Linked DNA regions of Neurospora crassa OR74A. The protein of the gene in region 1 purifies or fractionates together with the protein of each later gene. This does not show direct contact. Links are inferred from orthologs where the notes say so. Each region holds a gene or a part of one and is shown on either strand. Other genes may lie near its edges.

Region 1 (4,519 bases):
GAGGCCCTGGCACCCAAGATCCCGCTACAGAAGCAGTCGGTCAACCTCCCCGGAGCTGTGAACGGCGGCGTGCAGGATGCCGTGCTGGCGGACGAGAAGCGGGAGGAGCTGCGCAAGGCGATGCGCAAGGAGCGCAAGGCCAAGATTAAGGAGAGTAACTACCTCAAGGCTATGTAAGCATGAGGGGTGGTGGTGGTTCGAGAGGCAGAGGCCCGAGGGAGGACGAGGACGAAACATGGGAGGAGATGGGTGGGAAGGAAGAAAAAGAAGAGGGGGAGCACGTGAAGGGAGAGAAGGAGGGACGGCTAGAGCAGCAGCAGCAGCAGCAGCAGCAGCAGCAGCCGAGTTGATGTGGTGGGCTCGTATGTGTACTAACATCCAACCGTCCAAGAACGACTTCATGGTATGGCTACCTACGGGCACGAAAGCGGACATGGACATGGGGGAATTGTCCTGAATGTAAGAAAACTATATACGGCTTCAGGAGGGTGAAGGGCCTGAGAGCCCTGGAGTGGACAGCCAGAGAGCCATTTGCTATGGTTAGATCCAAAAACGATTCTGTACAAATACATGTGATTCAGTTAGTAACCATAAATTATTGAATGTTTGGACAACAGGTCAGAATTTTGCTCGTGTGCTTGCTTCCCAAGCATCGGTAAATATATTGCCTAACAAGTGCCATTTCTTTGTGCCGCTCGTTGGGCATTCTCAACTTGCTGCTATTCACTGACTTCTGAGTTTCTGGCTAGCATGATATAATATGGCCCATACGATAATCCTTTCTCTGAAATAGATTCCAGGTCCATAACAGCACAGCTTGGATACCCCCTTCAATCTTCCTCGGACACCTCACCAATCGAAGATTGCTTCAGTTTAATCTCCGACTTGATGTTCTTTATACTGCCTTCCAGACGTTTCTTCATGATAATGCTTGTTGCCTTGGACAACTGCTCCTCGTACGAGGCCAGCTGCTTCCTCAGTGTGGCAATCTCAGCCTTGACTCCCGCCACCTCATCATGGCGCTCTTCATCGCCGTCATCGTCCATGTCACCCTCATCATCCTCGTCGTCTTCATCTGATTCGTCCTCCTCGCTGACTGCTTCGGCCGCACTCTCCTCGGTTTGTGCAGCGGTAGGCGTACCCGTGTTGGCGGTGGGGGGTGTGGGAAGATCCATGCCGCCGCCTAACGCCGTGGGCGTGGCAGCGCCAAAGTCCATGGCGTCCATTGCTTCGGCAGGTGTGTCTGCCGCGTTTTCGAATTCTGCCTCGAGATCGTCGAACAGGTTGTCGTCGTCTTGGTTCTGCATATTTGCGTCCCCGAAATAGTCCTCTAGTCGGTCTTCTTCGCCTCCCATGCCTCCGTCCTCGTCACCGTATTCGTGATCGGACTCGGGCGCAGCGGTATTTCCGTGCCCGCCCTCTGCTACAAGCTCGTACCTGGAGTTGAGGGCTTCCCTGTCTGCTGCCAGCAACCGCTCGACCTCGGCTTCCTTGTTCTGGATTTCCAATTTGCTGAGGCGTTTTCTAAACCTCCGGTTTCGTGCATCATGCATCGGCGGGGTGATACCATGGGGCCATCTGTGGCCATGCTCGACAGCCTTGGGTAAAGGAACCGACTTGGCCTCCGCCTCGTCTTTGACCTTAGCAAAGACAAGGATCATTTGGCAAATGTCGGCTGACTTGACCATGGATTTCTTATCCCACGTCTTCATGCCCTCGGTGATTGTGGGTAGATCAACCAGAATAGCGGCGTACGGTTGCCCTTGAATAACAAACATTACTCGCCGTCCTTCTTCATCCAGAAACTTCATTGTAACATCGGCGCCACCTTGATGTTTAGGAACGCCCACTTTCCTTTCAGCCACGGCTTTCCGGAGATAGTCGCAGTGCTCACCAGGCATCATGCGCAAGATCAGCTGCTCTTCAATTACTGGGTCGACTTCCCTATCATCGGCCTCCGAATCGTAACCCTCCCCCAGCGGCCGCGTCGGTATTTTGCCCTGCGATTTTAGGCGAACCTTGGGAGCTAGAAGCGGAGTTTGAACTGGGGTTGTGCCCGAAGGTGCCTTGAGCGTGATCTTCTTGGGCCTTGACTCTCCCCCAATGCCATTCGCTGTCGGACCGTCCTCCGCCTCGGTCTCTTCTCTTGGTCTCTTTCTCGCCGCCGCGTTCAAGAAGACTTTACTTGCCGTCTTGGGCTTGGACATGAAGATGTTGGGAGCAGCCGAGCTTCCTGTTGATATCCGTGGTTGTGTCGGCTGAGATGAAGTGTTGGAATGCGACGGCGGTCTCGGCCCGGCTGGTGTTGGTGGTTGTGAGGACGTGCCCTTGACGTTGAGCTTGATCTTGCGAGGGCCCTGTGAGCCCCCCGGTGTCTGAGGAGGTGGCGAGGCGGCAGAGAGGTTATGGCCAGGCCCAGGTGTAACTGCCGGTGATCCCGTCCTGCCTGCTTGAGATGAGCCATTGGATTGAGTGTTGATTTTGAGCGTCAATGTCCGCTTGACTGGCCCTGGTGGGTCCATGTTTGCTGTTTGTCGTTGCGCAAGGCGCTCTGGTAATCCGTTTCAGCGGTTTGCTGCGGCGTCTTGAGGTCGTGTGACGATGAGGACGTTGAGGAATAAAGCGAATGATCCAGAGATCACTCGGAGGAAATGCTCAATCGCTGAGTACTGGCGTAGGTAGTATGGATAGTCGGCGTCGAATCGGGCGGGAGGCACCGGTACGAGGTGACCTCTAGGTATTAAGAATGGGCGGCCGGTCGTGACTGGACAATGATTTGACCGTCAAGATTTCGATGAGGGCGAGGTGATGACGGACAGGCGCGATGCCTCTTTGTTGCTACCGGGGGATGTGGATCGAACAAGGTACGGCGGAGGTATGCTCTTCGCGTTCTTTGGCGGGCCTGGGCGAGAGCGGGAGGTTTCTTGGTGGGCGGGGAGGAAAGCGGGAGGTGAGGCGCGCTCGGTGCAGCTATCAAAGCCGCTGTTGCGACAAGCGCGTTCTGAAAGTGGAAATGATGCAACGAGCGTCAGCGTGGAAATGTTAAAGTGGGTGGGCCCCCTTTAGCTAAAGTCCGTCGTTGCACGGTCCAAATCGGAGCTTGGCTTTCAAGACTCCACTACGGTTCCTCAGCGGCAGGTGGGGTACAATAGAAACGTGCCGCTGTCCAACTGTTCCAGAACGTCCTGTGTACTTCGACTTGACATGTGCTTTCCTGATGAAAATCACCCATTCTAGTGTAGAGGTATCAATGCGACTGGCCCGAGTGAGAAGAAGGTTTGGGATTGCCAAGAAGCTTGTATTCCTCCAAGATACTATTTTACCTCTTATACTACTTTGAATATAGCACGATGCCGTGACAATGTGGACCTACTTTTATGCCTCCTCAGTTTCACCCGCCAAGACCCCGGAAACTCTCTATGCCTTCTGTCTTTCATCCAATCCTCTTTTATTTCCTTTCCCTATTGTCAACCATAATTAACAAACAAAACTTTCCTAATACGCATGCATTGGCACTCTTCGTCGGCTTGTGACTTCTTCGATATTACGCAGTGGCCTTCACCTCCGGCGAGCGTTGAAGGGACCCAGTTCCAAGAACACACTGCACGGCAGTGACGATACCCATCCCCGCCCCACTAGAGCTGCCTGCCGCAAGCCCGCAAACTCCCTCGAAAACCTAACCCACCTCGTCGCCTGCGATTGAATTGGAGGAAAACCAATTTCCATCTGTTGCCAGCAACGCGCTGCTAATCGCCACGGTTCAGCCCAAGTCATTTTTCTTGGTATAGCTGATCAGTCTCCGACTCTGACTATTTGTCGTCCCCACTGCATCGACAAGCAAAAAGACACGAAACCTCGCAGACAGTGTCTCGACAACGAAGAACAAGTGCACGAGGCCAGGCGCGTATGGCAGTTCTTGATCTGCAGCGCGCCCATTCACCTACCCTCTTGATTGTATCATATCCAATCAGACCTGGCACCTTTGTAGACGACAACCTTTCCCAACGACATTTCTCGAGCAACGCGACGCCATCCTCGACATCAAACCTACCTAGCTGAAACCGAGCGACTCTCGCCAACATGACACCCCCACCATACCTCTACCACGCCCTCCTCCGGCCTTCGATTCTCCAGATCCTCCGCGCAGCCGGCTACCACGGCGCCCGCACCTCTGTCCTCGACTCAGTAACTGATATGGCCGCCCGCTACCTGGACGCACTCTGTCGCCTCACAGCCACCTTCGCCGCGCACAATAACGAAGAGCCCGAGACGGGCGAGCTGGTACCAACGATAGTCGACGTGCGCATGGCCCTGCAGCAAATCGGCGCTCTGTTACCCGAGAAATCGGAACTGGAACAGCTGTATAACGGCGTGGAAGACACTCGGGGAGTGGACGCCTTTGTCGCGTGGGCAGCAGGTCCGGTCAACAAGGAGATCAAGAGGATAGCGCTTGACAGTGACGAGGCGACGGATTATCTCAATGGTGAGTTCAATCTTCTGCCTGTGTTCAGGTCCCGGC
Region 2 (4,463 bases), on another chromosome or scaffold:
TGCCTGCGAGTCAGTCCTTTTCCCCTTTCTGTCTGCGCGCTGAACCTGGAACTGTGAATGCTGTTTTATGTCGGTGCTTTTGTAACTCCTGGTTTTGGGGATGTGGCGGAATGGTTTGGCAAAATTCGGTACCCGAAGCAAGAAAGCGAAACCCGGTCGGTTTCGCAGTCATCCGCTAAACAGGCAGCAGAGTGTGCTGAAGTCCTGGCAGTGTCGGATGTGTTGCAGGCGAAGTTGCAAGCGCCATGTGGAAGTTGCGGTGACCAAATGTCGAGAAGCTATTCAGCTGGATTGCGGTGCAGCAGTTGCGGTTGGTTAGATGAAGTCCACTGAAAGTAGCCGCCATGAGAAACGAAATCAAGAGCCGAGGAAGGGAGGCCTCGAAGCGGGAAGTTGGAAGTTGGTCCAGTTTGCGCCGAGGCCGATGCCATAAATCGATAATGGGCGGGAGATCGATGTGTGCTGAGCCAGTTGAGATCATAGGTTGGTAATCAAGCGAGAGCAAGCCTACCTCTACCTACCTCCAGAGGTAGGTGAGCAACCGCCAATGCGTCGCTTCTCGCTGTTGTCGAAACAGAACCGCCGAATGGAATGACCGCCCACCACAGGCCCGCGCAACGCCCAAAAGCACCGAGGAAGTGGCGACGCAAATTCCCGGACACAACACGAGGAAGTGTCGGCTGTGCACTAGATGTCGAATAGATGGATGGATGGATGATGATTGATTGAACAGCCATGATGATACGCCGGGATAGATGTGAGACCATCAGTTGATTGATGAAGCTGAAGGACAACATTCAAGGCATGATGCGTCCAAGCGCCCAAACCTAAGCCGAACGATAGAGTAGCAAAAAGGGAGAAAGAATCGTTTCCTGACCGGTTCGTTCCAAAAGAAAAGCGAGGAAGGAATAAAATGGTTTCAGAAGGTTGCTGTTGTGACGAAGAGTGTGTGGCGAGGGTTAACATATTACGACATGCTGGAGGCCGTTCCAGCCCAATACTTGGCTTGGCAACAGCAGGTTTGTCGGATTTGGGGTTGGTGGGGGAGGGGAAGGATGAGAAAGGGCGCTCTGGCTGCTGAACAGGGAGTGGAGAGCAGGAGCCAGGAGAGAGGACAGGGTCAGACAGAAGTACCGGTACATCGAGGAAGCCTGCATGTCTGGGTGGCTCAGGAGGCGGCAGGACGGGGTGAGGGAGCATGAGCGAACAGGCAAGAGAGATAAAAAGGGCCAATAAAGGCAGCTGATTGGCCGCATCCGGCTCACAGTGCGGCGCACCAAAAAGATAACGACCAGGGGACCCGCCGCCACAAGATTAGCGTGGGTGCCTTAGGCGACATAGCGTAGACTGGGCCGAAAATTATAAGTAGTGGGCGCTCCCTCCAACCCATTGTTTCGAGAGTCTCGCGCGGAAGTCCCGACCGGCCCTACGTATCCGATACCTGCGTGCGGCCTCGATTTTCTTTTCATTTTCCCCACCACCACAACCACCACACCCCTCATCTCCAAATCCACTTCCATCCAGAGAAGCTCAGCCCCGTCCGCATACACGCATCACACGCATCGTCGTCGTCGCTGTTGTCACGGGTATCCAGAAAGAAGAAGAAGAAGAAGAAGAAGAAGCAGAAGATCCAACGAAGCACAACCAGCACAGCATCATCCTGCTGTCGTGCGTTCAACGTTTTACTCTCAATCATCTCTCTCTCTCTCTACCATCCGCCGTCACCGTCACTGCGTTGTGTGGGCGCATCTCTCTCATTTAGGTTTAGGGGTTAATCACAGTCAGTCGGCCGTCAGACAGGAGATCCGATCCTCTTCCGGACAAAGGAAACACATAACCGTCGCCCTTTGCCTGCAAAAGAATCCGACCTCCTCCGTCCGCCGTCGACCTACTTCGTTTTAGGCGTCGAGGATAATAGAAGATTCAGTTCGTTGCACAGGCCACAGTGCATCGCTTTACCATCTCATCATCATCTTGCCTTAGCTGTCCCGGTTACGGTCATCCATTGCCGTGAGCTGTTCCAGAGTGAACTACCTGCGTTCCGACGTAACAAAGGGAAGCCATCAGTCACTTCGACATTCGTCCACTGCCGCCTACCGTCAGGTCGTCAACGCATCACCGTCGAACCACCGCGACACATATCCAATCCTCTTGACGCATCGTCGATTGCAAGAGGTGCCTACCAAGAGTGCTTGTCAGGAAAGGAACAGAAGTGTTGGGGGAGACATTAACTTGTTCATCTCCCGCATTTGGTAAGCTCTTCTTAGCTCTCGCTCTCCTGCCCGTCCCGTCCTTTGCGTCCACACCTTGCCTTTTTTGCACTGGGTTGAGTCGAGGTTCAGTTGAGCCTTGGTGGCAACTATTTCATCCCATCCCATCCCATGCCATTGCATTGTCCATTTGGTGGTGAATAGGTGGGAGGTGCTATTTCACCACGGTTGCCCCACTATCCAGTGACAAACCGGCCCCTCGAGCCCCCCGCCCACATATAAAATAACCATTTCTCGCGCCGTTGGAACTTTTCCCCCAAACAACCACAAACTTGCACTTGGCTTTTACACAAACCAGCCTCTGCACATCTGCGCAATCTTGCACCGCACTTTCGCTCATTTACCAACTTTTTTGTTACGGTAATTCTAATACAGCGCTGGTCGCAGATCTGTTCGAGAACGCAGAAATCCAAGTCTCAGACTCGCGCTCAGATTTGATTCAAGATGGATGCTATCCAGACCCACCCGTCCAACGCCGCTCAGGCGAAGGCTTTCACTGCGCCCGGTTCCCTGTCCTTCCCCGGTGCGGCCGGCGAGCTCACGCCGCCCACGTCCACCGCGAACAGCGACAAGAGCGCCGCGGTCAATGGAGCTATCGGTGCGCAGGCCGCCAACGGCAATGGGGTGACACCCGCAACCCCCGCGGCTACGCCCGCAGCGAACCAGGGTCCCACCAGTGGCATGACCCCTACTCTACAGTAGGAAGACCTTGGCTTTTCTTTTTTCCCTCAAGGGGCTGTGGGCTGACCCAAACAGGAACATCGTCGCGACGGTCAACCTCGATTGTCGTCTTGATCTGAAGACGATTGCCCTGCATGCGAGAAACGCCGAGGTACGTGACGGGTTGGATTGCGGGGTCCCTTGAACTTGTCTGTCTTGGCCATGGTTGTCTAACAGCCGCAAACAGTATAACCCCAAGCGTTTTGCTGCGGTTATCATGCGTATCCGTGAGCCCAAGACCACTGCCTTGATCTTCGCCAGCGGTAAGATGGTTGTCACCGGTGCCAAGTCCGAAGATGACTCGAAGCTTGCGTCGCGCAAGTACGCTCGTATCATCCAGAAGCTCGGTTTCAACGCCAAGTTCACGGACTTCAAGATTCAGAACATTGTCGGTTCTTGCGACATCAAGTTCCCCATCCGTCTCGAGGGTCTTGCTTCCAAGCATCACAACTTCAGCTCATACGAGCCCGAGTTGTTCCCTGGTCTCATCTACCGCATGATCAAGCCCAAGATTGTGCTTTTGATCTTCGTCAGCGGAAAAATCGTCCTTACCGGCGCGAAAGTGCGTGAGGAGATCTACCAGGCCTTCGAGATGATCTACCCTGTGCTTCAAGGTTCGTTATCATATGTCTCTCATTTTCTGCTGTGTTCATTGTCACTAACTGTTTTTCTCCAGACTTCCGCAAGGTCTAAAGAGTCTTTTCGAAGTTCGCACATAGTGATCATCGTCATGCCGCCGCGTGCAGCAGCACAACACCTCTCACACAACATGTCGACAACTGTAATTATACCCACAAAAACACCTATCATGATTTCACGACGAATCTCACCCATACCCAAAAACCGAAAATCACTTTCTTGCGACTCGCGGTTTGCGTCTACTACGACCATCAAGCGGAGTACGGCGCTAGAGTCGACAGGGAGAACCATTGTATCAATGTCCTGTCCATTTTCTTGCGGTTACGTCATCATTTTATTTTCTTCAGCAGCATTGCAGCGGCGTTCAGGTTCGACAAAGAAGGAAGAAAGAGCGGTATTCTTGCTACGTTATTTCAAGTCGGGGCGGTCATTTCCCTCTCGGCGATTCATAAAACAGCCATAGAGCAGATCGCGCGTTGGGGGGAGAAAAGGAGAGTGGTCAATTGTAGTGTTGACTGGCGACACAAATGACACAAATACCACGCGCTAGCGGGTTGATGTTGTCGGCGGCAATGTTGCGCAGGTCGATTGCCGTTCACATCCCTTTTTTTTTTCCATCACATCTTCTCCTCACATACCCACTTCTAATGGCAGATGAGGGACCTAACCTGGGGAATGAAGGAAACAGGGGGTCACTGCGAAAGATGAAGGAGAAGGAGGTTGGCTTTCTGCGGGTTGACGTTTGAGTTGGTCACCTGAAGAAAAACATTAAAATAACCACTACCGATACCCGAGATCAAGTCTGGCATGACAAAAAATATCAGCCGACAGGTC

Evidence for each region.
Region 2: the proteins of NCU03095 (region 1) and NCU04770 purify together in Saccharomyces cerevisiae (affinity purification with mass spectrometry; 5 studies listed by BioGRID, with this or other methods). This does not show direct contact. The link is inferred for Neurospora crassa OR74A from reciprocal best matches to the Saccharomyces cerevisiae genes TAF7 and SPT15.

The regions. Positions count from the first base shown.
Region 1 is NC_026501.1:4,523,130-4,527,648, forward strand, and holds NCU03095 (transcription initiation factor TFIID subunit 7), read right to left. Parts: upstream 3,006-4,519; 5' UTR 2,523-3,005; coding exon 831-2,522; 3' UTR 609-830; downstream 1-608. Other genes in the region: NCU03094 (hypothetical protein), read left to right, coding at 1-177; NCU03096 (bromodomain associated domain-containing protein), read left to right, coding at 4,081-4,483.
Region 2 is NC_026506.1:755,721-760,183, forward strand, and holds the start of NCU04770 (TATA-binding protein), read left to right. Parts: upstream 1-1,402; 5' UTR 1,403-2,252; intron 2,253-2,657; 5' UTR 2,658-2,714; coding exon 2,715-2,968; intron 2,969-3,026; coding exon 3,027-3,102; intron 3,103-3,177; coding exon 3,178-3,604; intron 3,605-3,666; coding exon 3,667-3,683; 3' UTR 3,684-4,463. Other genes in the region: NCU17074 (hypothetical protein), read right to left, coding at 358-462, 522-797. UniProt on the Saccharomyces cerevisiae protein: General transcription factor that functions at the core of the DNA-binding general transcription factor complex TFIID. Binding of TFIID to a promoter (with or without TATA element) is the initial step in preinitiation complex (PIC) formation.